Linked DNA regions of Lepisosteus oculatus. The protein of the gene in region 3 interacts with the protein of the main gene of each other region in a pairwise test. Links are inferred from orthologs where the notes say so. Each region holds a gene or a part of one and is shown on either strand. Other genes may lie near its edges. The genes, in order: fgfr4, pdgfra, erbb2 and ezrb.

What was found.
Region 1: the proteins of erbb2 (region 3) and fgfr4 interact in a protein complementation assay, tested with the Homo sapiens proteins (2 studies listed by BioGRID, with this or other methods). The link is inferred for Lepisosteus oculatus from reciprocal best matches to the Homo sapiens genes ERBB2 and FGFR4.
Region 2: the proteins of erbb2 (region 3) and pdgfra interact in a protein complementation assay, tested with the Homo sapiens proteins (2 studies listed by BioGRID, with this or other methods). The link is inferred for Lepisosteus oculatus from reciprocal best matches to the Homo sapiens genes ERBB2 and PDGFRA.
Region 4: the proteins of erbb2 (region 3) and ezrb interact in a protein complementation assay, tested with the Homo sapiens proteins (2 studies listed by BioGRID and IntAct, with this or other methods). The link is inferred for Lepisosteus oculatus from reciprocal best matches to the Homo sapiens genes ERBB2 and EZR.

The regions. Positions count from the first base shown.
Region 1 is NC_090706.1:39,850,114-39,858,024, forward strand, and holds the start of fgfr4 (fibroblast growth factor receptor 4), read left to right. Parts: upstream 1-4,900; 5' UTR 4,901-5,725; intron 5,726-7,911. UniProt on the Homo sapiens protein: Tyrosine-protein kinase that acts as a cell-surface receptor for fibroblast growth factors and plays a role in the regulation of cell proliferation, differentiation and migration, and in regulation of lipid metabolism, bile acid biosynthesis, glucose uptake, vitamin D metabolism and phosphate homeostasis.
Region 2 is NC_090696.1:78,516,378-78,523,474, forward strand, and holds the start of pdgfra (platelet-derived growth factor receptor alpha), read left to right. Parts: upstream 1-4,077; 5' UTR 4,078-4,355; intron 4,356-7,097. UniProt on the Homo sapiens protein: Tyrosine-protein kinase that acts as a cell-surface receptor for PDGFA, PDGFB and PDGFC and plays an essential role in the regulation of embryonic development, cell proliferation, survival and chemotaxis.
Region 3 is NC_090723.1:5,670,391-5,677,725, forward strand, and holds the start of erbb2 (receptor tyrosine-protein kinase erbB-2), read right to left. Parts: upstream 3,016-7,335; 5' UTR 2,801-3,015; coding exon 2,722-2,800; intron 1-2,721. UniProt on the Homo sapiens protein: Protein tyrosine kinase that is part of several cell surface receptor complexes, but that apparently needs a coreceptor for ligand binding. Essential component of a neuregulin-receptor complex, although neuregulins do not interact with it alone.
Region 4 is NC_090697.1:44,087,938-44,095,922, forward strand, and holds the start of ezrb (ezrin b), read right to left. Parts: upstream 3,007-7,985; 5' UTR 2,867-3,006; intron 2,782-2,866; exon of another isoform or gene 2,690-2,781; intron 2,157-2,689; exon of another isoform or gene 2,055-2,156; intron 1,804-2,054; 5' UTR 1,708-1,803; coding exon 1,696-1,707; intron 1-1,695. UniProt on the Homo sapiens protein: Probably involved in connections of major cytoskeletal structures to the plasma membrane. In epithelial cells, required for the formation of microvilli and membrane ruffles on the apical pole. Along with PLEKHG6, required for normal macropinocytosis.

The DNA.
Region 1 (7,911 bases), on a different chromosome or scaffold from region 3:
TACATACATTACAATTCTGGATCTTCATATATAGAGGTGTTCTGAAATGATAACGTGAAAATATCATGTTGGGGGACTTCAAAATTAACTATCATCACTACTGTGGCATCACACATCAGCCTCAGAAAAGCACTCAACTTCTGTTTTAGGCAAAAGACGGTTAATTTATAAGGCAGAGTACATCAGGTTAACCTTGGGTGTGAATCAGAAAACCTGTGAAAGGAAACAAAGGGCAGGCAACACATGCAAAATAAAATTGATTGCATCGCCCGAGTCATTATCAGACCAGCCTGCGCTGATGCCATTCGTTTTCAAGCTCAAAGAAAACGGTGCAATAACCACCTAGCCCAGCAATTAAGGTGGCAAAGTGAAGCTTTAAGGAAAGTTCGTCTTTTGAGCCGGGTGAATGCTGGAAGGGTATACACTGGAAAACAGAAGAGCTACAGATAATAGGCTTTAATGAGGCATTCGGACTCAGGCAGCTGGAACAAAGGGCTGGCTTTGGGATTGTGGAGTGTGTAGAATCCGAAGAGCAGGGAGGAGGGGATTGTTGTGGCTCTGATTGTGTGATTTAATACCAACTGCGTGAACCGAGCCAAGGGGATTTTGTTTTTGGGGATTGTGTGTGTGTGTTTGGCGGGGGGCGGGTAAAACCTAAATGTCCTCCGCCAAGGGACCCGAGAGTCCTGGCCGAACTCTGGTCAGACTCGGAGCTGCACTCCCGCCGGGAGGAGGACAAGGCGAAGATGAGGACGATGATGAGGAGGAGGATGGATGTTCCAACATTCGCTTTTTCAGGTCTCTTCAGAAGACTCTCTAGTAACGGGGATGCTGTGCGGATGTGGGCGTGAGTGAAATGAGTTTGCCGGTGTGTGCTCAGCTGGGAAGGATTTAGCCTGCAGAAAGGAGGCTCAGGGAGGAATACCTGGATTATCCAGAGGGATTTACTGCTCCAATTCAGAGCAGCACTAATCAATTTCAGGCAATCGGCACCATGCACCCCCCCCCAGCCCACACGAGCCAGCACAGCCTTCCCAGTACGGCTCCTTCTACATAGTGGTTTGCCCAACACCCCTCATGTGAAACACATCTCTGTCTTAAGGAAAATCCAAGCACTTTCATCATTCTGATGTAGTAAATCTGCTTTAGAATCTGACACAATTACTCAAACCAAGATTAAAAAGGAAGCTCCTATCACTGTAAAACCCTCTACAAGAACAAAACCAATTACTCTGCAGCTTGCCGTGTAAAATCACACTACCAAACGGATATCCAACTTGTCGTGAAAAGAACGCGGAGCGCATTTGCTCTCAATGTTGCGGCGACTGTAGTAACGCTTTCATGCGCACTGCTCAGTTATATGTGGTGATCATATTCCTTCCACGGAAAAATGTTGCCTTACACCACTTTCAAGTCTTAAGACAGATCTCCAAGCTTATAAAAAGTATTCCAAATAAAATATCCATTGTATTCGACTACAGTTTTGCAATGTAACGGAAGTCTCAGGAAATTTAAGGGTGGTGTTTATAACTGATGTTTGGCTTCATCTGTGGTATTTCATATGGGTTTGGCAGTACATTGCATTCTACTCTTTGAAATGTAAGAAATAAGGTTATCTTTTCAACACTTTCTCTGCTGTAAAAACATAGGACATATCAATCAAGCAGTTGCGAAAGTCATTCTCTGCCTTTCCCAAAATCCTCAACTTTTAACTTGTGCATCAAAAGTAGAAGCGGATATGTTATTGCAATGATACCAGTTTGCTTTTTAATCTTGGTTTGGGTAACCGTGTCAGATTCTCAACAAGGGCACGTTCAGAATCTGATAAAAATGCGTCCCGGGCACGATGCGATTGTATTTTAGAGGCTGATACGGTACAGAGAGGAATCTGCATATCCTTTTCAGAGCGTGGTTCAAAGCAAGTAGGTACAGCGCAAGCTGGAGAGAGAATGTGGTTACTGGCAGTCAGCCACACCATGACACCATTGTTTCTGATGAGTGAAAGATATTCCCCTCTCATGCAGAAAATTATTGGCAAAGGCCTCAGACCTGCTCACCACATCTAGCTTGCGGAAACTCTGGTGGGTGCTGCTGGTTAGAGGCTTGTATCACTGTTACCTCTGAGAGGCAGTGTGGGCTTCTAGCCCTACACCACCTCGGCTTCGGAAACAAACCCAGTCTCAAGCTAGATCGCCCCCCCCTCCCCGAGGCTCGGGAAAGGTAGGACCTCATTCTCACTTCACACCAGTTCAATTATAACCCTGCCTCCACTGATCTAATTAAAGAAATCCTCGCCGTTTTCCTTCATTGGTGCGATTTTGAGAGCTGTTTGGGCAGTGCTTTTATGCTTTTGCTGTGTTTCTCGCATGAAGTCACTCTAGCTCTGCTGAGAATTGCTCGGGTTCTGTCTTCACTGCAGTCTACGACTCTGGACCAGGGGAATGGTGAGATGTTCTGAGCCAACAATGACCATGAATAATGTTTACTACAGTAGCCTACAGCTCCTAAGGCCTCGCCAGCAAAGCGAAGGCCTACTATAAATTCAAGACATCCACCGCAACCACAGCACAACTAAGATAATGTCATGGCAAAAGAATGAAAATACTATAATAAATCTACCGAGTTGATTTATTACGGATTGTCTTTGGCATACTGCTGTTAGATAAAATCGTTCATATCCAGCTAAGATCGTTTGAAGAAACTTGCCAAGGAGAAACTCTGAAACTCATATTTTTATGTCTGCTTCCAGTTTCACTAGGTCCTTCTAGGTTCTAATCAGCACGCGAAACCAATCTCGAGACCCGGGAACAACGCTGAAAATAACACATGAGTATGAAAACAAGGACAGCTTGGCTTTCTCGTTCAAATCAGCCAACAATAACAAAATCTAACGATTAACAATAACCATTTTCCGAACAGATTCCACTTACCAACCCCACATCAAAGTGTTTTTGGAGTGATTCATGTCAACGCAAAGGATGTGCCAGCGCTGTTTCAATACCAGTCAGTTGGTTTCCCATAATGTATGCTTCTCTGCTTTTCTGTGTGCTGCTGGCTTCTTCATATTACCGACTTCGGGCAGAGCAAACTTTCAGGACAGGATGGGCTTTTGTGGTAGAAATCAAATCACTTCTTCACTCACTCAGATGTTTAAAAGATTTGATTTCCTATCATTACTCGTGAACTAGATTTACCAGGCAGTCAAGCAGGACAGCAAGAGAGTCGTTGTGAGTTTGTGTGTGAATGTCTGACAGGATCAAACAGCCGTGTGTATTTGCTCAAGGTAAAGGTTGTGTATTCATTGGTCTGTTAATCTAAAAACAAAGTGACTGAGGGAGAGGTGACAGTCAAAAATAAAGAGTAAAAATGCACAGGTCTTAGGCTTAGTCATAGGCTAACCCTGGAGACCCTGAGAATTTCTGACTTTTATTTTGTATTTCATTTCACTGTCAGTCACATCTTGCTACAAGTGCTGTGTATCACATAGGACAGTTTCTAGTGCATTTTTGGAGAAAGCAAAAAGTGGATGAGTCCTGCTGTACGTAAAGTAGTCTTTCAGTATAGTACATACAACAGGACCTCTCCCTGAATCTGACTTAGAAACAGTTTAATTCCCAAGACAACATGCAGTATACTGCACTTCCTAAGAGAGCCTGGAACAATTGCAAGGTTACTGATGTTGTGTACTGACCCACTGGTTGGAAACCTAATCTATTTTCTAGGGTTTTTGTAATAGGAGTGACTTCTACAAGAATGGCAATATAGTGTAGGATTCAGATTTAAAAAATAAACCTATAGTGTTTTTGTTTCAAATGAAATACAAAATTGAAATCCATCAGATACAGCGATAAAGATACGACATAAATTAAACACCACCCATCTAGAGATTGATTTTCTAAAAGAATGGATTGCTCGGAAATGAGCACGAAAGAGATTATCCGTGTAGAATAACATTTTCGACGGTCAATAATGTCGTCAGTGCGGCACTTTGTACTGCTGTATGTTACTTACAAATTCAACTTAAAAGTTAAACAGTGACGAAATGCAGAAAACGACGAGCTCTGTGTGTGGAATACCGGTAACGGCCTGTAGGCGTGATGCATACACGAACCTTCAGATTCAGCACTTCATCGCTTAATAAGTCTGAAGTTACCAATAAAAGAAGCTTCCGATCGGTTTGACGGACTTCGCTTTGACCTACTCCGGGTTCTGCAAAAATCTGCTAATGGGGATTTTTTTTTTGGTAAAATCATTCTCCACAATAACGGAGAAATTGACCGACAATATAACGTTTTAAAATAAAAACTACACACACTGCATAAAATGCAGGGATGTCCACAATAGTGAAGTTTAGGAGTAGGACAATTGCCTATGATGGGTGCTATTAGTGTCAAGCATGCTTTAGTGAATTGTATACAGTGTACATACAACACATGAACTGCTTGTACAGGTATGATAAAAAGGCACAGAACTATTTTAAGACTACAAACACACACTTAAATCTTTGGGGGGAACGAATATTAACCATTGTGGTCTCGGATTCTACCGTCATTTTATAGAATATCCGACGCAACGCTGTTTCTCTCCGTTTCAGTAAGAAAATAAATGCATTATTGCCAACATTTGTTTTTCTAAATTGCAAGCAGAAAAGGCCCGGGCTGTTGGTCCGTTCGGCCTTCATTTCCAAAGTTACCGTCGCTCAGAAGCAGCAACTATTGTATTCTGGCTTTCATTAAGAAAAAAAAAAGGGTAATACATTTCTCAACTACATTCCGAAGAAGCGCTTTAAAAACGGACGAGTGAATGAGAGTCGTTGTGCACACAGCACATCTTAGGTTTGGATTTGGCGCTTGGATGCTGCGAGGGGGGTCTGTGAGGGAATTATTTCGGGGGGAGGGTAAGAGAGTCATTCCCCCCTCCTCTTTCTCATTCTCCTTTAAGTCTATTGTTGCGAGTCTTGTGCTTACACTGCCCGGAGCTACTATCAGTACTAAAATGCTCGGAGCGGCTTTGCGCTGTAACCGGAGAGTCGCTAATTGAGAACCCTGGACCTTCTGGCTTCCTCCCGGACGAGCCATTAGTGAAGAGATACCGAGCAGAGCGGTGCACAGACTCCGCATCTGCTGCGTCGCTGCAGTCGATGTCGTTTTTTTAAATTATTTACGTCCCAAGTCCTGCAGCAGGGGTGAAAAACAGAAAGCCTACACGATCAACACCTTTCAGCGGAGCCGCGGAAGACAAGCGAGAATCCCGGAGAAGGGCAGGAGGAAATGTTGTTCGGGGATTTGTTGTTTGTAATGGATTTTGCTATGTTTTTTTGCTGGGGCTTTTGACTCCTGAATTTGCGTGTTTTGTAAGCTGTTGTGTTTTTTTTTTTTTGCTTCAACCTACAAGGAATCGGTTGTTTTTTTTATTATTTCGGTCTGGAGAAAACACAGCCAGGACGCTGGACTTGTTTCGGACTTTGCACTCAGTACCAGGGTGTCAGTGCCTCCGGGGACTCGCAATTTCAGAAGCTAAACCGTAGTGTTTGGGGATAAATCCGTGCAGCTCTTTTCTCCCGGAGGAGGAACACTTGAGTACCCGAAGCTCGGGTGAGGCCGCAGAACTCGGGACCCAAGTCCTAAATGGGGATCCATCTCCCCGATGTCTTGGAATTGTGATTTATCGAATTATTGACTCATCGGTTCGCGGATACGCCAACAACCCAAGATACCGAGGCAAGGTAATTACAAATCTTAAACCATTCCCACCTTTCCGTGAAACATGAGCTCTGAAACAAAATTAGGACTTTATTTCGTGATGAGGGATGTTTATTACAGGGCTTTGAGCGAGGTGCCTCTTCGCTGTGTTTTTAATTCTCGTTTTTGAGAATGACGACTGTGTGTGCGCTCGCAAGTAAGCGTCTCCCCGACCAGTTACGCAGCCCGTGGGGGCTCTAGTTGTGTTGCAGAAGGGCTGGTGTTTAATTATAGGTTTCCTCGGCAGTTTGGAGCGAAGTCTCAAGTGCTCCGGCTAATTTTGGAGTTTCAACCAAATTCCACAGACCGGTGACACCGCAGCTGCAGTCTCTCTAGACTCCGGTGCTTACCGACCTCTCTGGACATCTCTGCCTCTCTGTCTCGTCAGATGTTTCTAAAAACAGAAGTGAGGTGGGAAAAAAAGTCGTTTTCCCTAGACGGGTGCGTGTCCCGTAGTTGGATGAATCAATCACTCGAGCTGTATGAAACAAACGTTGCGCGCGTCCTTTCTATGTCCAAGAGCAATACGCTGTAAAAATGAAAACGAATACCTGAGTTGATTTGAAAAAAATAAATTAATAGGACGAGTTAAATTGAAATGAACACCCAACAAGGTAGTCGGTATGAGGCCAGTTCTAAACTCGCCAGCCGGCGTGACTTAAAAAGGCAGTGGACTCGGTATCCAGTGTTTGCGCAGTAGTTAAAATTTAACCAAAGATACAAGTTGGAAAGGAACAGAGCTAAAAGGACCCCTGCCTTTGATTTACGGTGGATGCAGAGTCACCGAGGGGGGGGGCTGCTAAATTTAGCCTGGGCTAGTAGTACAAAACTGTGTGTTACCTTGACCATCGAGTCACGTACTGTAGAGCTGGGCTCCGGTCGCTTGCGTTTTTCTCTCTTGTAGCTCCGAGACACGTGAAGTGTGGACTCACCATTTTTTTTACCATTGGTTTACTTCAGCTGCCTTGGCACGCCTAAAAATTATTTTTTTAAAAAAAGAATAAACCTTTGTTGAGTTTCCGGTATTTTTTATTACTGCGAGCTAGGTCTCGGTTAGCGTACGTGCGAATGTGAGCGTAACGCGATGGGTTGAAGTGTTGAAATACAATATCCCGATATCAGGGCCATAGACGATGAGACATCCTGAAAGGCATTGAATGAAATGATGCGAAAGTGACACGAATTCTGATTCTAAGCCATTGTTTTTTCCCCAAAAAAAGTCGCATAATTTTATCGAAACACGCGATGGCCAAGTAGCTGGAACAAGTCACACCGGACGCTTCTGCGCTAATCGCCGGGGTCTGCCCTCGCACTTTTAACGCTGTTTACTTGGTACTCCTTGGATTAAAAAAAAAAGAAAGAATCCCATCCCCATCTTTCCAAGCCCGTGTCGCCGTGGCAACGGCTCTCGGGCTCCCCTCCGAGCCCTCGGCTGGTGCCAGGGAGCGACAGTCAACTGCACTTTCTGCGCGCTGTGATGGGAGGGCGGGGCGGGACAGACGTGAGACAGATGGCAGTTGCGACAAGTGAACCGAGCCTGGTTGTGTTCCCTTGATAAGATCGGAAAGGCGCTGGCCGTGGCCTTCTCCCGGCTGTCCCGAAGGGTCTGTCCGCTGTGAACTGTACAAAGCACTCTTGAGGCGAAAGTGTTCTTCGGCGGTGTTGAAGGGCATTTTTTTCCCATGCAACACCCGACACGACTTGCAGTTAGCAAAATGCGAGAGAAAGCATAGATATCGGAATAAATGAGCGTTAATCTGTGTTTTTTCCCCCCTGTGATTCGTGATTTTAGAGGTGTGTGGTTACATTATTTATATAGTATATAAGTCCTAAGTGCACAGTAACGAGAATATGCTGCCAAAGATGATCGGCCGTACGCCACAATGCACGGACTGTCTCTCACAGTGTTTTCTTTCATTAAACATCAACAGTGTGCAGTCTGTTTGGTGCTGGGGTGTGTTTTAGGTGAGAAACTTAGTTTAGAAACTTACAGTTTCTCTGGAGAAATGGCCATTAGGAGCAGCTCTTTCCTGGAGCATGTTTGGAGTGAATTTCTTACACAGGAAAATACTCCAGAAAAGACTTGTTTTCTCCATAGTGGCTGATCATAAGTGAAACTAAATGTCGCAGAACGTCAGTCAGCTGTCCTGTCTCTGGCTGCCTGCATATA
Region 2 (7,097 bases), on a different chromosome or scaffold from region 3:
TGATGATCGCGGATTGAGGACCTCAGTTTAATTTCTTGCCCGGAGCACGGCACCTCCTGCTGTGCAGAGTCTCGGTCACCACACTGATTGATTTGAAAAGTCTTGGGGACAGTCTTGAAAAGAGGGTTGTTTTTTTATCAGAAGACCAATGACAGTTAATTCAGTTTGATCCTGAGGGTTTAGAAACGATGCTGCTGCATTTTTGTATCGGTTGCTTTGAGCCACCACTGGGGTCTGTTTGCCTTTTGCTCTTTGGGCCAAACTCAGCCTTGACCCATCATCTATGGAGCTTCTGCCACAGGGAGAGAGCCATGGTACCATGCTGTCTGAAGGCTAAAGAGGTCCAAGTTTGTTTAGATTCATTAAGATAAACAAATCACCAGAGGGGTTCCAGCTACATTTTGTAAAAGTGACCAAACTGGTGTTAAAATATTTTAGCGCTCAGAGCTGAATTAACAGCAGACTGTTTGCTGTGTATTCCACCAAGGGAAAGCATGTGATTAATTATAGAAAAGATGCAGAAGGCCAAGTAAAGGTTTATTTCATGCTAAAAAGAAAAGAAAAGAAACATGTTTCGGGTGTGGAGCCTTCTTCAGGTGTCATTATAGAAAGGGTGTCCAGGGACTTTAAAATGAGAAGATATTACTCCAGTGTCAAGCATACCCCATGTGTAATATACTTTAAATCGTTTGTAACCTTATTAACATTCACAACGTGCAAATGACTGTAGTAGTTCAGGTGGGCAGCTGCGTCAGCATGTGTAGGCTGCAAAGGAACAAGTAATAGGTTTATTCCATGCTGAAAAAAAGAAGAGAGGTGCTCACACCTGAAGAAGGCTCCACGGCTGAAATGTGTTTTCTTTCTTCTTTTTTTCTGCAGGGAATAAACCTATTACTTGTTCCTGTGCAAATGACTGATCAATTGAAATGCACACCAAGTACGTGATTACCTGAAGCTGAGCGCTAGACAGTAGATGTCTGGAGAGGTCTGTCAGATATTAAAATACAGCAGCCCTGCTGGCTGCACTAAGATCTACTGTACCCTCTCTTATCATGAGTAAACCTCACGGCCATCAGAAAGGTGACATGTAGGCAGACTGCCACAGACTGAGCTGGAGTCTGGAGTCTGAATCCTGTGCCTCTGTGGTACTTCTTCCGCCATCAGGCAAGATGCTCGGCCAGAGGAGAGAGGTGAGGCGGTGGGGAAATCGTGCAATTAACTAAAAATACAGCAGCCAGAACATTCATCTCATATTATACATTTTTAAGGTTCTCCAGTTAATGTTTCAGCACTTGTTCGAAAGCTTACTAAGGATGAGAACTCCAAGCACTCGTGTTAATAACCACACCCGCACGTTTTATAGTTCAGCCTCCACCTTCCAGCTAATTGCAGCAACATTTTCTCCCAGCGAGCAATCCTGTGCTCAGCACCCCAACGGATTTATCAGAAGGCGTAAACGCTTGTGAACCTCAGTCAGGAAGAAGTTAATGAAAGCTGCAAAGTATCAGATTCGCAATCTGACCAGGACTCATCAAGCCTGTTCCACTAACCCTGTGTCCTGCAGAAACGGCATCTCCAAAGAAGAAAATTAATCAGGAGCTCTACAGAGAAAGAATGAAGCAATGGGAAACTGGAAGGTGATAAAGGGAAGAGAGGAAGGATGCAGAAAGACTAATACGCACAAGAGAGTGAGGCTTGCGACTGTACTTATAGTATTTCGGGAAGTGACGTCATGGAAAAGTACGAGTTGGAGCAGCAGAGGTGAGGGTGACTTTGGGTGCTGTCATTCCTACAGAACTTTCATTAACACTCATATCGTTATGGGACATCGCGAAGGCTAAACGTCCATATCAACGCGAATAAATAAATAATTATGCATCAACATTCACAGATTAAAGCAGAGGCGTTCTTCTCTGTGCTTTGAAATGTTTTTTGTATGTTAATATTTTTTACAAAATTGTCGGTGATACATTTTCGTTAAACCTTTCATGACTACAGTCCTGGCAAGGGGGATGTTTGTTCACTGTCCAGTTTGTGCACACTCAGAAGGGTATGCGAGGCTTTTCGATGAGGATTTCCAAATTACCCGAGGCTACTGTAAAAAAATACAAATAGATCTGGAAGAATAAACAGGTTATTCCATGTAATCTTCAACTTTAAAGGACTCGCGGTATTTCTGGAGTTGGCTAGGGACGTGTAATTGTTATAGAAGTAAATCATACTTGCAGAGACGGCTACTAATCAGAACTTGAACGCCTACTTACAACTATGCAAGTTTTACAATTTACAACTTCTTATAAGTAATTCCCCATTGTTTTGGTTTTAAAATGTAATCTCCTTGTGCACGCAACTCCAGAAAGTTTTCTGTCCAAATGCTTTACCACAATGTTTCAATCCAATCTGAACGATGAATCAATATCTGAGTTACTGCCACAGTCCCATCTGGGTTTTTGCTCGTTCGGAAATCACACTGTTGAAAAAGGGACAGAATATTCAAATTTAAGACACGTGTGACACTTCCTCCCCTATTCTATATTTATAACCCTCTGCATGCGCTCCTGCGCTCAGTGCACATTAGCTATTTATAGGCTACTTATAATTAAACATTGTAATCAGCATCAGATGTTTTAAGGCAATTTAATTATCGTAGACGTTCGACTTTTTTCAAATGTGCAGGATATATTTGACTCTAAACAGGCAGGTTGGAAGGAGTCTGTATGGAGCTGTTTGTCTTAATGGTTTGTTCATGTTTTAGGTTTATTGATCAAAAATACAAAGTCCTAAAATGCCGATTTGAACATACCCTTAAAAAAACATATTACCAGGCAATACTAGTTTCGAAATAATACGGTACCCAGTTAGTATCTAGAACAAGGGACTGTTCATAGCTGCCTTTCCGGGGAACATATGGAAGTAATAGCCGGGCTCTGCATTTTTAGAGTGGAAGATCTATGCAGCTTCGGCACAGAGCTACAGGCGACGGGAGTGCAATGGCTAAAGGGCGGGAGACAGGGACCCGCTCGGTTTCTGTAAAGGGGTTCATTCAGGGCGCTTGGGCTTAAATTCATTTAAACCTTAATTAACATGCAAGAATTAATTGCTCTAATTGCTCTTCCCCGCCCTCTTTCCGGGGTTTTGCATTAGTAAAGAGAAGGAATGGAATTTGGTGCGAAATTAACGAAAATTTAAAATATATGTTTATTATATTTTATTTTATTATTATATACATTGTGTATTTTTATGAATCAGCCGGAAACCAATAATAAATGAGAGAAATTTAAACAGAAGTACAACAGAAGTAATTTTGAAAGAAGTGGGTAGCTTGTAAGGTCGTTTTTAGTAGTTTGTATTTTCCCTGATATTCCAGCGCCCTCTGCCCTCACGAATTGTAATAGCAACATATGGGATTAATTCTACAGTTGAAGGCGACACACCAGAGATTTGGTGTTTGACAAAAAAAAAACACTCACGTCCACCTTATACTTAATGCTGTATTTTTTGTTCTTCTAGGCTGTGCGGACGCGTTGTTTTACATTTTTGCATTGCCTGCTAGTTTTACCGAGACGAACTTTGAATACCGTCTGTCTCTGCTTGAGTGCATTTAAACATGAAAAATACTTGCTTTCGGATTTATAGATTGTTAAATATTTTTAACAATGGGTCAATTGTAAAACTGTCGAACAAGTTTGTCTGAAATTAAAAATTCACTATAATTTGTCACACGACCATTTTATCATCTTTAATTTTCGCCTAAGCCAAGCCCTCTACGTTTTGGAGAATAAAATTACATATAAGCATGCCACTCACAAGGGTAAACAATTGTTTTCATATGAATGTAAACTTTGCCTTGATTCAGAAGGACTCCAAAAAAGTCTTATACTCCACCCCCCCACCAAAAAAAAAAGAAGAGACCGATTTTTCCTGGTAGTACTATGGCCCTCCTCCCTGTGTAAAAAGTTTTAAGTGCAAAGTTTAGCGAAATCCGACTCCCGTTTCGGTATGACGGTGAGAGCTCCGACTCTTATTTTGAAAGCGACCCGAGGGGGGCTCATTTCCTGATACTTATTTACTTTAAGGCAGATGATTAGTTTTTTGGGGAAGGATGGACTGTTACATTGAATCAATTACAAGTCGTTGTGCTTGAAGCCCATTACTAAGCTCAGCCGTGGAAGCAGGAGGTACAGGGCACACATCAGTTTCTCTTGACCGCTCTGGATTGTGGATTGCGCTTTGTGGATTACCTCTGAAAACAGCTAGCGAGACCTTCGGGAAGAAGATCACTGGATCTAACCAAGCATCCATGAGACTGTAATCCAGTCAATGTTTTCTTTAAGGAAATAAAGAGAATTTACAAGGTATTGTAACTTATTATTTTTAAGGTAATGCAAACCTCTGCGGTTCTAAAGGGTCCATTTTATCGATTCTAAAAACCTCTTCCTTATTTAATTAACTAATTGCACATTATTATTAAAGAGTTATCATAATCCGTATACTTTTTGTTAGTCAGAACGCGTTGGTTTATTGAAATAAAGCAACCTTTTAATTTCAATCAAAGCAAATGCACATTTTGGTTTTACAATTAGGATGTGCCTTGTAATTAGTAATTTAATTTAACTATTAACTAATGAATTGTCTAAAATCATAGCGGGGAACCGCAGGCTTTTGAAGCTCCAAAAACTAGCGTACCGCTTGAAATGGGATGTAATGCAGAATCCTAAAAAACCGAAGAGGCTCATCATGAAGACGAGAAGGTTTCCGAAAAGCAGAAAATACTTTTGAAATAATAATAATCGGACGGAATACAGGTCATTCAACATTACACGGATAATAATGTTTCCTCCACATCGGTCCGCTGGAGCACTGCAGAAGATCCCCTGGAAACGGGTGGCGAAATGGAGAAAACCCCGATCTCTTGTTTCACAGTGGGACGATTCACATCAGGAGGCTCGCTGGGTCTGAGGGATGCGCTGCAGGCTGTCATGGCAAACACATTTGAGACTGGATGTGAAGTAAATTAAAGTCCCGCAAATGGAATTTAAAACATTTTTTTTATGGAACAAAGGTTCGTTTGGGATGTTCTTTTGGAATGGATAACTGGAACCAAGTAACATTAAGCCAAAGGGAACTTAAAGCTTGGAAAATGCAACTATAAAGGCTGTGTTTTAACATTTGGGTTTAACTGAAAAAAAAAAACGCATTCTATTTTTTTTTCGTTATTCCGCTGTAAATAGTGGTATTCTGTTTTTTTACAGTCAGATTGAAGAATTCTCTTGATTTTCTTCCGTCTTCGCTTTTTTTTTAATTCAACTTCTACGAATGGTGGGGATAGTTTTTTCCCGTCTTTTGGGAGTCCAGGTTTGAAAACTCTGCCTTCCTTTATGTTTTTGTCACGTCTGGGATGCAATTAAACAGCGAAGGCTTTGTGGAGAGTAACGAATTGAATCAGTTTATTATGATCTTTTGAGGACAAGAACTGAGACTTGGGAGAAATTTGCGGCTGTTCCTAAATTCGTTAGTCTACCTATAGTAACGCAGAAGAAGACGGGAGTCTTACGGGAATTCCTTTCCATATTCTACCGGCATCGTGACTGCGATTCCATGAGTATTTCACGGATGATTCATGAAATCTATTCATTAAAATATAACTATATCCACATGGCAAATTGTACCGAAATTGTCGAAACTAATTAAATATTTGTCACATTGAAGGAATCTTAAACAGGTTTCCCGGGGGGGGGAGGGGTTGACGGACGAAAATGCACTAAGAAAAAGTATTTTCATTAAATTCTCAACACCCCGGGATTTGCCAAGCTTAATTATTCTCTTTGCGCTCATCTGAAGAGCAGCTGCACAAAATACCATATTTCTTAAACGGCAAAATGCGGAATAAAATTAATATTGGACTTCATGTTTTTTTTTCTGAACAAATTTTACATTGTGTGCAGAATGCTCTACTCCGAGGGCTCTGTACGAAATTGTTATACGCTGCTCTATATTGAAATACACGCAAACTTCTAGTACGAAGTTCAACTCCAAACGGAGAGTGTCGGACATTTCCCAAATTTCTAATGCGCTCGATATCGTAATCATTTTCATGACAAAATCCAGACGTAAAAAGTCAGGATTTGTGTTCCCTATGGTAAATGTAACGATATTTGACCTTAAAGGAGCGACGACAACAACAACAACAACAACAACAACAAATTATATCTTATTTTCTGGCATTCATATGAATAAAATAAAATATGCATGCCCGTGTCCGAATCAGTTAATGTGACCAAAATAAGCAGCGTTTAAAATACATAAAATTGTTTTAGAATTAAATGAGTTTGATTTTTAACATTAAAATACTCGTTCAACAAAACCGACCGAGGGCGTCAGGCAGGCGAAAGCGTGGTGAGGTGTTGTGCTGGCTGGCGCGGGCAGTCTGTGCGGCGTCTCGTCCCGCAGCCCGACAGAAGACAGGGGCTCTCGCAGCGGACTGATGAAACACAGACACCGCCGCTCCGGCTGGACCAGAAACTTTCAGGATCGGACAAGGATAGCCAGCAATTCAAGCATTAGCTTAGCCTCCTTCATCATAATTAGACATTACAACATGACCAATTCAACCTACTAAATATTCGTCTTACTTGCCCTTTCACTACAGGTTACAATAGATGTAGCCTTTAGTAAAAAATAACAGCCTTTAGAACATGAGTTCAGCTGACAAAAAGCTCATACACATTTGTGATGTAGCGTTTTAATTTCGTGTTTTATGATTTCACACTTAAGATGTAGGAAATGAAGGAAATATTTTAGGTCGACTGTATGAATGGTACGACATCTATGCCATTTATTAAACGTTTTCTTAAGTTTATTGCCCTAGGTATTTACTTAGATATCACATCGTTTGATCGTTGATCTACCGCCTAAAATGGCATTTCAGAACACTGCAAAATAAGTTTATGCATCATGTAAAAATGTGTTGTCAAAATCTTGTAACGTTTCTGTTCTTCCGCCTGGTAAACAAATATCGTGCTGCAGCGCCCTCTCTTGGTATTTATAATGTAATGGCATCATTTTTACAAGCAGAGTTATGCGTGGAAAAAAAGTCG
Region 3 (7,335 bases):
CAAGACAAAAACGGCCCACCAGGAAACAATGCTCTGCAAAATAAAGACAGCGCATGAAGGAAAACAAGGAAACAAGGAAGCTTAAGCAATGGTATTTCAGTTCCTTTAGAGGCAGCACTACGCATAAATAACAATAGGTTACCTATTGCTGGACAGGAGACGGTTAACATGTCCCTTTTTACTGGCGTTACACTGTAACCAAACTGCCAAGGATAAGTCACTCAAAAAGGTGGCTGGTGGCGTAAATGTGCAAATGTTGTGACAAACTGTGTCTGCCAATGAGAATCCACAAGAGCTAGGGCAGTGCGCATCTTTACTGCAAGCCAAGCAAATCTGTTTTGATCCATTTGAGGATTTATTAGGTGAAGGATTTTGTAGAAAAAAATACCCATGACTGAAAACAACATCTATCATATTTTTATCTACAGCTCTGAGACCCACTTAACCATTATTAAAAGACAACCCTGGCAAATATCCAGCACCAGGTTTTTTGGCATGTACAGGACATAGAAGCCTACGTCTGGAAAGACCAGAAGAGTTTAAGCTGGAAAAACAGAGGGAAACCAATTCGTCTGGTACAATGCTGGACTGGCCAAATGCAGGCTAAAATCACAGTCCAGTTGGCAAAAGATATTGCCACATAAAAAAAGAGATTATAACCATCTTCTGTGCTGAAAAATGACCGCTTGCTAATTTTAAGAGGATGTCTTCTTCCATGAAGCTGAGGGTCAGTCTTCTTAGCTTCAGAGGAGAAGCTGGAAAGGGCTGCTGAAAACATCCTCAGCATCCAGAAGGAGCTCTGAAAAATGCTTAGGGGAAGACAATCGCCCTTGCGCAGTGCTGAGAAGCCCATCTGGAATCATTATGCCCAGAATCCGTTTAGATACTTCCCTGCTTTCCTTCAGGCATTGGGAACGACAGCGGGAATCTTTGCATCCCATAACTAACCCGTCGGAATCCTGCCGACAGACTCTCAGGCTCTAAAACCTATTTTTAAAGATTGTGGGAAAAAGGGTTTGGGTTTGCGGAACTTGAAATTACTCTATCCACAGGAACAAGTTGGCTGTTGCAAAAACGGAAAAATAGAAAAAAAATGATTCGGCTGTTTAGAAAAAAAAAACAACTGGCAACTGGAAGTGCCAATGGGACTGCATCTCCATGGAGGAGAGACTCTGGGAAAAACCAGTGGGAAGTGTGCGACCCAGAACTGGGCACGAGATTTCAAAACTACAGCGTTTCCAACAGCCAGGGTGTTAAAAAGGCTCACGCAGTGCCTGAGCTCAGGGTGGCAGAACAGGCCTCCACAGGGAAAGATGGTGGAAACCGTCTCTACAAAGGAAAGGTTTCAAAACACTCAACTCCATGGAAAGACTTTTTGCCATAAAAGTAGGCTTAATATTTTGGGATGGAAAATAAAGCCGACACATATAGTGCCCGGTCAGTAAGAAAACAACTGCATTTCAACAACTGCATCCTTGGGCAAAGCTCTGGAACTCTTTGCCCAAGGATATTAGAGAGTCACCTTCTCTAAACTCCTTCAAATCCTTCTTCTTCAGAAAAGCCTTTACTTAACTGGTTCCATTCTTCACCCCTCTGCTCTTCTTAGTACCACCTTCCACGGTCTCCTCTATTGTTATTGTTGTATTGTTGTAATTATAATTGTGTCCTATCTTGTGAAATCTTCTTAATTATTGTTGTAGTCTTCTTATTTATTGTTATTGTCATCCTGTAAAGCGCTTTGAGAAGCCACCTTTAAAGGCGCTATATAAAATAAAGTTTATTATTATTATTTCACGGATAACAGGAAATGCCACCTTACAGACTCACTTGAAGAATATGACACACATCACCACCGCCTTGTGCACAACCTGGAACCAGATATCAGCAGCGAATAAGTTTGTTTTGACTGTGCCCAAGCACAACAAGAGTGCTGCATCGCTGGAGAGGGTTGTAGAGGGGAGATGTGGAGTGTTTCAGTTCAAATTCCGTAGCCAATAGCCTATTTGACTACAAAGTTTGCTCAACGTCTGTATTTCGAAATAGGCTTATACAATTGTTTCTGAAATCGATACTTCACACAAATCTGAAGCCCGGCTAGTTTATTATTAGCTTATATGTCAATACACAACTTGGCGTTTCTCTGCGGCATCTCCGCCGCAGTTCGGGGCTGTAATTATTAGGTGTCAGGACTGGTTTCCAAGATTATACTGGCGACGGGATACGGGTTTGTTTACTACAGAAAGGTATTCTTCTTCGCTATTAGGATTATTCTGTTTCCACTCGAGTGTCGTCATTCAGAGTCGCAAAGCAGGTTCTCAGGCAGCCGTGAGTATTTTCTAACACTCCCCTTCCCGACACAAACACACCTCCTTTAAGTATTTGGCTTCGAGTTATAGTGTTTACATATTTCGAGAAAGCGGAGTTTTAAACAGCACCCAAGCCGTCCTGAAATCGCGCCTGAAATCGCACTGACACATCCAGGGAAGTCCCCACGAATTGGACCGAATGTGGGAGAGAGCGGCGCGGCGCGACGCGGCTGGGGGTTGGAAAGTTATTTTCGAGTCGCGCAAGAAAAGTTTCACGCTCGGGAAAACGTGAATCGAGGGGACACAAAGTCTCCCCCGAGAGTTTTTTTTCCCCCCGCGTTTCCTGCCCTCTCTCCCTCCCCTCTCTCGTCTCTCGTGGCCCTGAAGAGAAATGAAAGTTTCAAAGTCAACCCACCTTCCCTGCCCCGTGTGCCCGCAGTCACGACCAGCGCAGCTCCGAGCAACACCAGCAAACTTCTCCACGGCGTTTCCATCGCCTTCGGCTTCTACTCCATAGCGAGCACCGGGCGCCTCGGTTTTAGTCGAAACTTAAGAACGGGCAGTCTCCAAGAACCTCTTCTCCTTCCTTGTCGATTTCAAAAACAATATCCCAGCACTTCCCCACTCCTACTCCCTGTCTCACTCGCTGTATCCCTTCCTTGTGGCTGGTAGGCGAGGGTGACGCGCAGCGCGCTCCCGGGGCCCGTGCTGGGAGTGGCAGAGCTGAAACTGAGCCGAGAGACCGACCCGCCTCACACTTCACTCAGCTTGCTGCTGCTGGTGGTGGTGGTGCTGGTGCAGGCACCGTGTCCGCCTCTCTCTCCCTGTCCGGCTGTCTCTGACTGGGCAGAGGAACCCCAGCAAGGAAAAAAGACCCTTCCGAAAACGGGGACAGAGACTGGGCGAGCTGCTAATCGGGTGCTACAAATGTTCGGATTCCATGTTCAAATTCCCTAGTCTGTGCACGCCGCCCACGCAAAACAGTATCTGAAATTATCATTATTATTGATATGCAGACAAGCGCATTTGTTCTGCACTGGCGACTGAACTTACTTATATCGCTTATTTTTGAATTAATTCACCCAGCTATCATAACGACGTTCGTATCGCGTTAAATGTTTGATTTTGTTTTCCCGGCTTAGATAAATTAATAGGTGACTGTTCTGAATAGTCCTTGTTATTCTAGCGTTAATCAGGAAACAAAGCTCCCATTCTGTTTCTCCTGTCATGAAACTGCCCGCCGGTGTATGCCAACGAGCAAGGTGCAAACGGCTAACAACTTTCTAATCGTCGTACGTCTCAGCAAAATGTCTTGAACAAGTTAGACGGTGCAGTTCTTCTATTCTTGCAAAAATGATGGCAGCTTGCCCTATATCTTAGTCTTTGGACTGACATTTTTCACTCGCAGACCCAAGATTCTTTTTAATCGACATTAAAAATAATAAGTTAAAAACTCACACCCTGAATGGAATTCAGTTCAAACCCCTCCCATGTCAGACCTCGCGTTTCGTTTTACAGGCACCAGGAATTTCCATTTAAATGTCTTGCTTGCGTTACTTTTTTTTAATTAAAATTCAATTACACTGACAGCAGCTTGCGAGCAGCGGCAGTTTGTCATTCTTTGTATCATATTACACCCAGTGACACCCGTTGTCTCGTTCCGGCGGTTAGGCGGCTCTGAGATGTTGTACAGCTAATAATAAACCACATTGTCTGAGAGTTCATTATAAACCCGACTGGTGTCAGGGGTGACAACCCGAACACAGCTGACAAACTGGAATTTTTTCCGTTTTCAAAAGAGAGCGCTTTACGAAACAGTCGGGCTGCAGTTCTTCACCCCGGACTGTATAGAAATCTTAGTTTTGTCGCACTTCTGACTACAGTTATTGTGAATTTGGGGTATTGTATTCGCGCACTGTCGTGGGAGTATTGATTTCTAAACATCTCTTGCTCATTGGTGGTCTTTTCAGATGGGTTTAAGGAGAGGGATCACGGCCCGTCTGTGACAAATCTCTTACGTGGAAATATAGTTGTGGCCTGAGACGCGGATTAGGCTAAAGGTGAAAAAATGACTTCGCACTGCGAAAACTGACACCTGTCTAGGTAATGTCTGCCTGCACCTGTAATATACAGAAAATAAATCGTTAAGAGAATGAGAAAAAAAAAAAGATAATACCGGATACAGTATCTACCGAGATTTATCTGAGCTCCCCTAATCATTGTAATTAAATCAATTATCCACCTACTCGGCTTTGTCGTGACAATCAGGCTGCAATGTATTATTGTATGATTGTCCTAATAAGAAACCTTCTGATCAGGATGTTTTCAAACATTCTGGCATGGGAAATAAAATTCGGCTATCTGGAAAAAGACCTCCAATTTTTCTATACCAAAAAAAAATCAAACTGATGGCAATGATCGTTACTGTTAGCGAGGAGGTATAAAAACCGAGCTGGAGGCCGGAGCGCTTGGACAGAGCGTCGATTTCGCGCAGCGCTGGGCTTGGGGAGGAGACAAGTTGCTCATTTTCGGCGTTGCCCTGTGGCTGACATTCCCTTGACTTCCACTTTCTAGTCAGACTAAACAACTCAGCTGGCCAGCGCTCGGCACCTCCTCTTGAAGTTTTATTTGGGGGGGTTAGTGACGGTGAACTGCTCGAGCAGCTCGCGGGTGGGTGGGAGATGCCGGGCGACGGCGCCGGTCCGAGCTGTAACGGTAGCGGTCTCGGCACAGTTTTCTCAAAACACCATAACGCCTGGTCAAATATGTGTATATCTTTCTGTACAGATCCACGGTCATACTTCCCAAATGTTACACGTTAGTTACAGTGTTAAATGATGTTACAAATGTTACAGCACACCCCCGAATTCCATCGGAGTCTGTAATACTCAGCTACGAAGGGTCATTAAGATCCTTTTTTTTATAGCTATTGTTATTTTTACAAAAAGGTGATTACCTCAGTTAAAGAGAGCGTCGTAAAGGTATTGGTAGAATCATATTTGTTTGGTTTTTGACCATTTCCGGCGTGAACAAGACTTTTGTTGTAAAAAAAAATATTTTTTTTTGGGTGCTTCATGCACTTCAGTGTGTTTTAAGAAGACGTGTTTTTTTATATGTATTCTATTCCACTGAATTGGTTGAAATTCCTTTTGGTGTTGTAATATTTACTTATGTATGATTTAGAACACGAGAAGACAGGGAAAACATTAAAATACTCCAAAAGCTAAAGAAAGGATGCTTGTCTGTAGGGGTTTTCTTTTTACAAAGCACACCATTAATATATTTAGTTATTTGGCAGAACATGACACGTTGGCGATGAGGTGCTAGGGTTTGTTTTTAAACTCAGTGCACAAATAAATGGAGGGAGACAACACCTCACACGTCAGTCAGGTCTGTTTTCAGCCCCTGCTAAACTGTTGCAATTCAGTCCCCACCCCAAGAAAGTGACCACTGAGGACGCATTTTAAGTATTGTTGACTATGGGTGATAACTCATAAGGCAAACTGGGGAACCAAGTTCATTTTACTTTAAAAAGGCCCCTGAACAGTGTTGACCCACACCCCTGAATTGTACTGTCTGTAAGATACGAACAAGGCCAGTCATTGGTGGCCACCATATCGGCTACCCACCTCTCTTCACAGCAGAGAAAAGGACTGGGGTCAAGATGTGGACAATCTCTTTCCTCCTGGACCGGTATTGTGTGTGTATGCCCTCTCCGAGACCTTCGTGCCTCTCAACACTGTGCCCTGGTCATTCCTGATACTGCAGGACTACAACACACAAGTCCTCAACACCCACAACAAGTTTAAGAGAAAGACGAACTCCTGGAAGGTGCTGTGACTTTAAAAAAACACAACAAAAATGGCAGCTGAAGTAACAGAAGACTATTTATTTGGATTCTCATTCGTTTGCATTTTAAAGCTCCTTTTTTTTTGGATACAACACTGGATATATACAGGTTCATCATTCCCAAAGAGAAGAAAAAAATGACAATGTGCATACGTAGCAGAGAGGGGGCGCTGTGGAGCACAAAGTGTCTGGTGGCATGCCAACTGGTTAGGAAGGGCTCGGGTATTTATATATATATAGACCTGGGGACACCTGCAGGGACGCCCACTTGCTCTTTTAAGGTTTGTGGCCGTCAAAACGGAATGGAAGTTGACACGTTTTGTATGCAGGAAACAATCCTCTCCACTCCACCTTCCAAAGTGAGTCAGTCCGAATTTCTGCCATCCTGCCCCCCTGACTCAATCCTAAATCTCCCCCCTCTCTCTGTCCACCGTCTCACTCTCTCTCTGTATCTGAAAGCTGCTAGATTTATCCACATCATCTATCATCCTACTATCTTAGTGGAGACGTACTCTTGCACCGCAAACACAAGCATTCAGGATCCCGGACAGCAAGGGACAGACACACACACACATTCCCAGATCAATCACAGGGTTCCCAGGGATACAGCAGCCTACACACATACAATCACACAACTCAGACATATCACCTGCCCAGGACAAACTGGCAGTGTTCTGCATTTGTGAGCACACAGGTTAGTATGTAAAGAAAGGGTCATACTAGTTACCTTGTTCTGCACAATCGGTTGTATGAATTTAACGGACTTTAACTCTGTTAAAACAGTTTGCAATTACAAGGTATAATGTAGCTGCACCAAGTACAAAGTATAACTGCAAAGTCCTCAAAGTGAACTGCATCCTGCCCCCACCCCCAAAGAAATGAGAGAATACCTTTTTTTCTGTTAAAAAAGCAGACTTTGTACAGTTCACCACTAATTTTATCCTGCGAACACACTCCAACATAGACTTATATACCAATGCAGCCTCACTGCTCAACAATACACACTGAATTGCTCACAGTCTGCACAAAGATGTCTGTTTTCCCTGTCTCCCAGTTCAAAGCAGTTTATCTCAGTTGTCAAACACACACTGTCCACCCAAGGACACACACTTCCTCAAGGACACTGAAGCGCTGAACTGCACACTTACCCCAGCCAGCACACACTTGCACTGGAATTGTC
Region 4 (7,985 bases), on a different chromosome or scaffold from region 3:
TCAGTGATTCAAGATGTGAGGAACTACAGCATAGAACACAAAATCCATTCTGTAAGGCATATAAATGAGACAAATGTGCTGTAGGTTATTACTCCTCTGACAACAACTATTGTCATGCCAACGCATGTTAGAAAATGACAATTTAAGGACAAAAGAATAAGAGGCAGAGGTCACACTAAAGTTACTGATAAATAATATCACTACATTTATATTCTTGTTGGCTTAGCATATCATCTTTAAAAAGCAGAAACTCCATTTGGACCTAAAACTATTTTCATATAATTATTGGGACAAGAACAATTATGAGCACACATTCCTGCTTTTTCCAATAGAAGGCAAAAAGTTGTGGAATAGTTTTGATTTGACTGCATGAGATTAATCCCTCAGTTTAATTACTGAAACTACTTATGGAGAATTAGTAGCATAAGAGATTACACTCTGATTGATACAATGCCAGAACATAAATCCACTTTTTCGCACACATTTCTTCTTCCTTTCTCCAGATGGATTTGTCAATCACGTTACTAAGCATTTTGTTGAAGGCTTCTAACAGAAAGTACATACTTATTCATTTAAATACGTTTATTTAACTGTTCTTTATTTACCCATTAAATGCTCTCTGTTGCAACTTGAACAACAAAGAGTATTAAACTCTGATAGGGATAGCCTTGGTGTAATCAATTGAGTAGAATCTAACAAAATAAACTTATTTTTCATTTAATTATTTTCAGAATGTCTTGTGAGGATAAACACAAGATATTTCTAGATTCAGACAGAATATGAAACAAAGATCAGCCTTGTTTTTAGTTAAGTCCCTGAATGCTCTAGTTTCACTGAACATCAATCCTGTATTAACAACCTCTGCAATCTTTCTGAGGAACTGTCAGGGAATGTTGAACTAATCTGGAAATACTTCAACCAAAGCACACAGTATCCTTATCTCTACTTAAAGAAAAACAGGGCATCCTGAAATTCACATCTGAGCAATGATTCCTCATATACTGTACCTATGGAACCTTATTAAAAACAAGTAAAAACATTTGTATATGCAATATTATACTGAAATGTAACTTTAATCATGTAATATCAGTAACATATTAATGACATTAAATATAATATTAATTTATACTTTATAATAAGGCAATAAACTGTGGAAGGCAAGATGCTACATGATCTTAACTGGACTTCAGAATCCAAAGAAAAGCCACACATCTGGTCCTTCCATAAAATATTGCTCATGCCTTGCATACACATTTGCAAATTAGCTTACCTTTGCTTGTGTTGGCTCGAAATGTCCTTTAAATCACCGATCAAACCTATTTTGTCTCTTTCAGCTCAGAAATATAGAATATCCAAACATTATTCTAAAAGTCTAATAAATATGATGAACTATCTTAAGTCTTTTTCTATAAAGATTAAGTTGTTTAACTGCTTTTCTTTTATACTTTTCAATTTAGACATATTAAACATTGCACACATCTTGATACACATTATTATATAGCAGAGTTTCAATATTGTTTTCAAATAATTCATTGTTAAAAGAACGTGATTTAAGCTATAAACTTTAGTATATTAATATAAAGAGTATGACATTCATTGAAGAATATCCTAAATACACGGATATACAAACTCGTTTTTTTTTGTGTAATAAAATACGTTCCATCAGGGTATTGTTTGATAAATGAAAGTACTTACCGGCTTTGGCATATTCGGTTCCCTGTATGTGTTCCACCAGAGGTTCAGTAAAGTTTTCTTTCAATACTCTGGGCCAAACGCGGACGACTTTTCCTCCGAAATACTCCTCTTGAAAAAATGTAGAGGAATAAGTTTGAGAGACCTCAGAAACTATCAGAAGAAATCTGTTCTTCCGTTCAGCTTGTGTAATGTGACAGAAAATCAGGTAAACCTGTGGGATATACGTTTATGAATCATTATTAAGTATGTAACTCCTGATTAGAAACGGGCCTCACCCAAGTGAAAAAAAGACGTCCGACAGTGTGCAATACCACTAGTTAAAGGTCGCTCAGTCTCCACCCTTTTTGGTAAATACTTACCTCAGCACCTCCAAAGGTGTGACCCTTGGACGCACAGAAATAAATTCAACCAAATATATCGCCACCATTAATAAATGTAAGGGCTACCGTGATAGAAAACTTAAAATACATTAAGCGAAAACTGAAAGTACTCCGACGTCCTTGCGTTTTATAGACACACTGCTGACAATGTAACAACACGTACGGAGAAAGACTGAAGTGCAACTTCACAGGAGAAATGATTACCAATGGTTACTTTCGATCCCGTCCTTGAAATTCACAAGCTACAGGACTAAAAAGTGTTCGTGCTTAATATTCTATACAAGCAAATCAGCTTTACAATAATACATTTTCAATACGAAAGAAAATGTAAGTATCGATATATCCGTACATTTAGTTATTTAGGTTTATGCACAGACATACAGACAGATACTAGTAACAGATTTCTTTCACTTTTCCTTCAAAATAACGTCTTACTTAAAATGGCACGTATACCGTAACTTTTTTTCTCCAGATCAAGCCTGCGAGATAAATCTAAGAGCTTCACCTGAAGAGGAATACAATCATTTTAAGGAAAAGCCATCATATTTTAAACCTTGATGCGTCATTTTTTTACCCAAATGGTTGAGCAATTGAGAGAAAATAATCTGGTTTACCTAACCTTCAGCAGTTAGCCACAGCCCACAATAATCCCTGTAACACCTGTTGAGAGATTTCCTTTGAAAACCTAACAAGTGCAAAACAGAGCTGTGTAACATAACCTCCACCATCCCGCTAGACTTTACGAAAACAGTAAAGTATTCGCTTGAATATAACTTAATAAATTATCTTACCAGAAGCAGGTGTGATTTTATTAGAATCACTGACGAGCCGCAGCCTCGAAAACTCCCCTCCCTCGGCTGAAGTCAGCGGTACTGCAATATGGCTGACCCACTCATTCTGTCCTACAGTGCTCTATTCATTTCTATCTCCCTGTTCCTGGGTTCCTGTTTTGTCACCGCTGGGGCGAATCCAACAGCGACTCCTATCAGCAACAAGCTCTGACAACATCCGTGGAGCTCGAGAGAATAATTTAAATAAATAAATGAAAGTGAATAGGGAGACCAGAACACAAAGAAGACGAAGAGTTCATGCGGCTAATGATCTCCTACAGTGTTCTTAGACTATAGCCGGCAGACGTCTGGTTGAAATGTCTGCCTCGCCTACGGTACATATAAATAAAAAGTTACGACCGAATGAATGGTAACTTTAACAATCTTGAGGACTAAACTTTTCGCGAACTTTGAAAATGTAATACATAATGTCTTAAGAAAGAAAAATAAACGATGAATTCATCTGATATCGAGACGTGTGTGGTTTTATGCGTTTCTATGTGCAGCAGCTGGATCCAGGGAAACCACCTTACAATAAGGCATAATACATCTTTCACAAGTTTTTGCGTTTTATCTTGTCAAGATAGAAGCTCCTCTGAAACAAATGATGTTGTACACAGCACTATCAGTACAAGGCCTGTTTTAATTTAAAGGGCGGTGAGCAGTGACTTTCGTTGCCATGTGTGAATTGTTTACTCACTATAGAAAGGTAAAAATCAATCATCTCCAATAATCACATCAATCATGGCTGAAATAGAACGTGTCTGTCATGTCAAGAAATATTAGTTGCAATTATTAGGTTCATAAAACTAGAAGTAGTAAAGTAAACATACTTCTTGTGGTAGAAACAGCCACAATATGACTGATAATAAGAAACCCACAGGCAACGTAATACAGACTTTCACTGAATAGGTTATCTTTGTCAGAATTGTTAGTCTACTTTTAGAGGTGATAAACCTCTACCGTAGCTCAAATAACCATTTAGTGACCTGTAAACATAACAAAGGAGTTAATTTTTTCCTTGAAATTCCTTAGATTTCTGAAGAAGAAAATGTGATCATCACTCAATCCTTTCAGAAATAATTAAATGGTGCAGGACCTAAAAAAGAATGGTTTACACAAATGTTATCAAAATATATTGAATATTTACATATGTAAGATAGAAAACTACAAACCATGAGTATTTTCATGTTTAGTATGTTGATGTGTATTACACAAATACTAGAATAAGAAACTTCTAGAGGTTTATGTAAAACATCTGAGGATTTGTTAGAGTACCACAGAACTACAAACATTAGAGGATTAAAGCTGAAACATTTGTTGTCATCATATTTACAAAATATGGATAAATTTGAACTTTAGGCATTTTAAATTTTTGTTGTTATTTTTATAAGTATGCTTTTGATATATTTAGTCCTGCTTTTCACATCATAAGTGATGGGAAATCTTTGTGTACACCTCTGCTTTTCCCTTGCAAAATTAACTTGTAGTGACTGTTTATCACAGGTACAGTACATACTGTATGGAGGGTGCTATAAGTGGTCAACACTAATCTGTAATAAAGATGTGCAACCTCTTATTTTAATTATTGCTCAGTAACGTTTTAATTTTCTCCACACAGAGATTTGTAATCACTCTCACTGGTAAGTTAAATGTAAGTAAAATGTATACAAATACAGTAAGCTGCTATCTTATTCATATCCCATGGCTCCATTTGTTTCATTTTTTTATTTGAAATGTTTTTTTTTTCATGCTAGCTCATGTAAAACTCATAGGTTCAGTTTCTTTTAACAGTTGACAATGTACTTCTTCTATTCTTTTGCTGTTCAGACCTGTTTGAACAGTGGAATAGCTTGGATTCAGGAGTCCTTCTGTTCATCTTATCAGATGCAGGGTTTTAACAGAGTTTAAATCTAGATATCGGTTTGGTCATTTCACACTTTCATGCTTTACCCATGAACCACCCATGATCATCATCAGACAAGGTGATTCTTAAAAGAACTGCACACATTTACACAGAACTGCTTGTAGGGATTGTGAAGGAAAGGTTGGGCCCGAGAAACTACTATAATCAGTATGCTTATTTGAAAATTTCTCTTTGGCAAAATTTCCTCTTCCTTGCCCTTATACAGTAAATAGGCATTATATACGAACAACATACAGAAATATGTCAGTCTGTATTGGTTATTATACAATTTCTTATAATCATCCTTTTACCCAGATCTGTAAACAATATTATGCCTTTATCCAGAGATGATCACCCCCCGCAAAAAAATAAAATAAATTTTCACTAATAATGCAGGAGTGAAAACATATTAATTCTTCTTCATTCTAATGCTATATTTGCTAGAATATTGTTATCTTTGAACAGAAATGGAAAAGTTTTTGATAACATGCAGTGAACCTTTGATGGGGAAGTTGTCAAGGTGTGGTGGCAGCTTATTGTGTTCTCATTTTAAAAGGAAAGCTGTGTAAGTCAGGGAGGGCGTGTGTGATGCTTAATGAATCAGCTTGCGTATGACATATCTTGGTTTCTCTGATCACTGCTACTCTGTCTTCATTATTATAAAGGTTCAGAAACAGCATGTATAGAAATGCTGATATTGGTACAATATCTGTAGTTGTCTCTTAACTTTGTAGTAACATTTCTGCTTCTTATGCAGTAGTAATTGGATGAGCCCATACTACTGTGTATATGAAGCTTACCAGCAGCCAGCAGCCATATCACCCTGCAACTCACAACTGGCAACCCACTGAAGCTAAGCAGGTGTGAGCCTGGTCAGTACCTGGATGGGAGACCTCCTGGGAAAAACTAAGGTTGCTGCTGGAAGAGGTGTTAGTGGGGCCAGCAGGGGGCGCTCACCCTGTGGTCTGTGTGGGTCCTAATGCCCCAGTATAGTGATGGGGACACTATACTGTAAACAGGCGCTGTCCTTCGGATGAGACGTAAAACCGAGGTCCTGACTCTCTGTGGTCATTAAAAATCCCAGGGTGCTTCTCGAAAAGAGTAGGGGTGTAACCCCGGTGTCCTGGCCAAATTTCCAATTGGCCCTTACCAATCATGGCCTCCTAATAATCCCCCTCTATGAATTGGCTACATCACTGTGCTCTCTTCCCCACTGATAGCTGATGTGTGGTGAGCGTTCTGGCGCACTATGGCTGCCGTCGCATCATCCAGGTGGATGCTACACACTGGTGGTGGTGGAGGGGAGTCCCCATTACCTGTAAAGCGCTTTGAGTGGAGTGTCCAGAAAAGCGCTATATAAGTGTAAGCAATTATTAATTATTATTATTACCAGCAAAACAACACTTCCTAGATGCCACAGCACCTCTCAATTTTGGGGGAAAGGTGCCCCAAATGTGGACAGGGCTACTCTGCTTCTGGGTACAGAATAAATAACAGACAGGACACATGACAGGGTAACACACAACAATTTAAGAATACATGTATTTTTGGAAAGAAAAATGCATAATCCCATAAATGTCTCTGTTTGAATCTTACTAAGCATACCACACAGTGCACGTACATTCTTACAACATCACAAGCTGAATAGATTTTCTAAATAGATTTTCTAAAATAATGAGCAAATACCAAACCTAGACGTTCATCGTGTGATCGAAGACTTTAGTGAATCTTGACTTTATAGTGAGAAAGAATAAAAAATACTGTTTTTTCCCTTACCCTCTCTGCATACAGTTTCCAAACCTTTAAATGGTTTATATGAACTCAGGATTCAGTTTTTCTGTTGAAGCCATCAGCATATCCCCCTTTTGCATATATTTATATAGCCCAGAGGAAATTCAAAAAGATAAAGTGATTAAATGCAACCTTCAAGAAAAAAAAAAACAATTTTCAAGCATGTTTTTGCCTTGTGCATACAAATATATAATACATATATATATATATGTGTGAGTCTGGGGGCTTTAATTTCCATTCACACCTAAAAGATGATCTTTCCGTGAAAAAAGAATGAGCAATCAAAGTTGTAGATCGGTGAGAATCAATCCAGGTCCAAGAAAATCTCAGCCAACTGATAAGAATACCGCACACCCCTTTCACTGTCACAGATAGTAAAAATACTTTATAAAGACTTTTAATTTGATTTAGTTTATTATAATTAACAATTTTCTTTGTTGACTTCAGCTTTAACGGTATAGCCTCTTATTTCCAAAACTAGAAAATAATGTTTAACCCAATCATCCGGGTTGCTTTGACGTTTCTGTGGTGTATCTGGCTATCGCAGTGTGGCAGGGCGTTCTGCAAATTCATATTCAATAAACCTTACTAGCACAACAAACAGGATCATAGCAACACAACTTTTGATCCGTTAGCGAACTTTTTTTCTGCAGTGATGCAAGCGTCTATTTACACCCATACCACTGCGTTTCTAATTGTATTACGTGAGAGTTTCAAAGGGTTTGACCAGCAGTGCCTGTCGCAAATGCACGCCCATGACACAAAGACAGTGGAACTCTGATCTAGGTGGGGAGGTGTCGTAACCGGACATAGCCAATAGCAGTACAAGATTAAAATAGATCTGTATATATCTGCTGTAAATCCAGCAGCGCAAATTAGACCTGCCTGCAACAGGTTGATGAACGCGGGATGTACAGTACGCTTAGACTTGTGGTCGAGAGTTTTACTTGCACTCTGATCAAGATCAATGTTAATAAAATAGCGCCATTGTGTTTCGACTGGAGGCGCAGAAGAAAAACAGGCGATACGACCTAATAATGTAGACTACATTATAACGTGTACTGTAGGGAGGAGGAACAAAGGAAGGCTCACAAAACGTTTCCTTATAAAACGGTATCTATCGTGGGAGATCTATAATCCTTGTTTTATACAAATGACGAGCAACAATTGGGTATATTAAGCCAGATGAGCAATTTCATTTTATTGTACATTGCACTTGGAGTTTGTACTGTATACTGACAGTCATTGAAAACGAACAATGTGTTTTGGAACCAAAATATATCAGCATACAGTATATAATACTATATATAGATCGATTGACATAGCTGTGACATAATATAAGTTAAACAGACTTACTCTAGCACAGTCTACATCAATATAAAT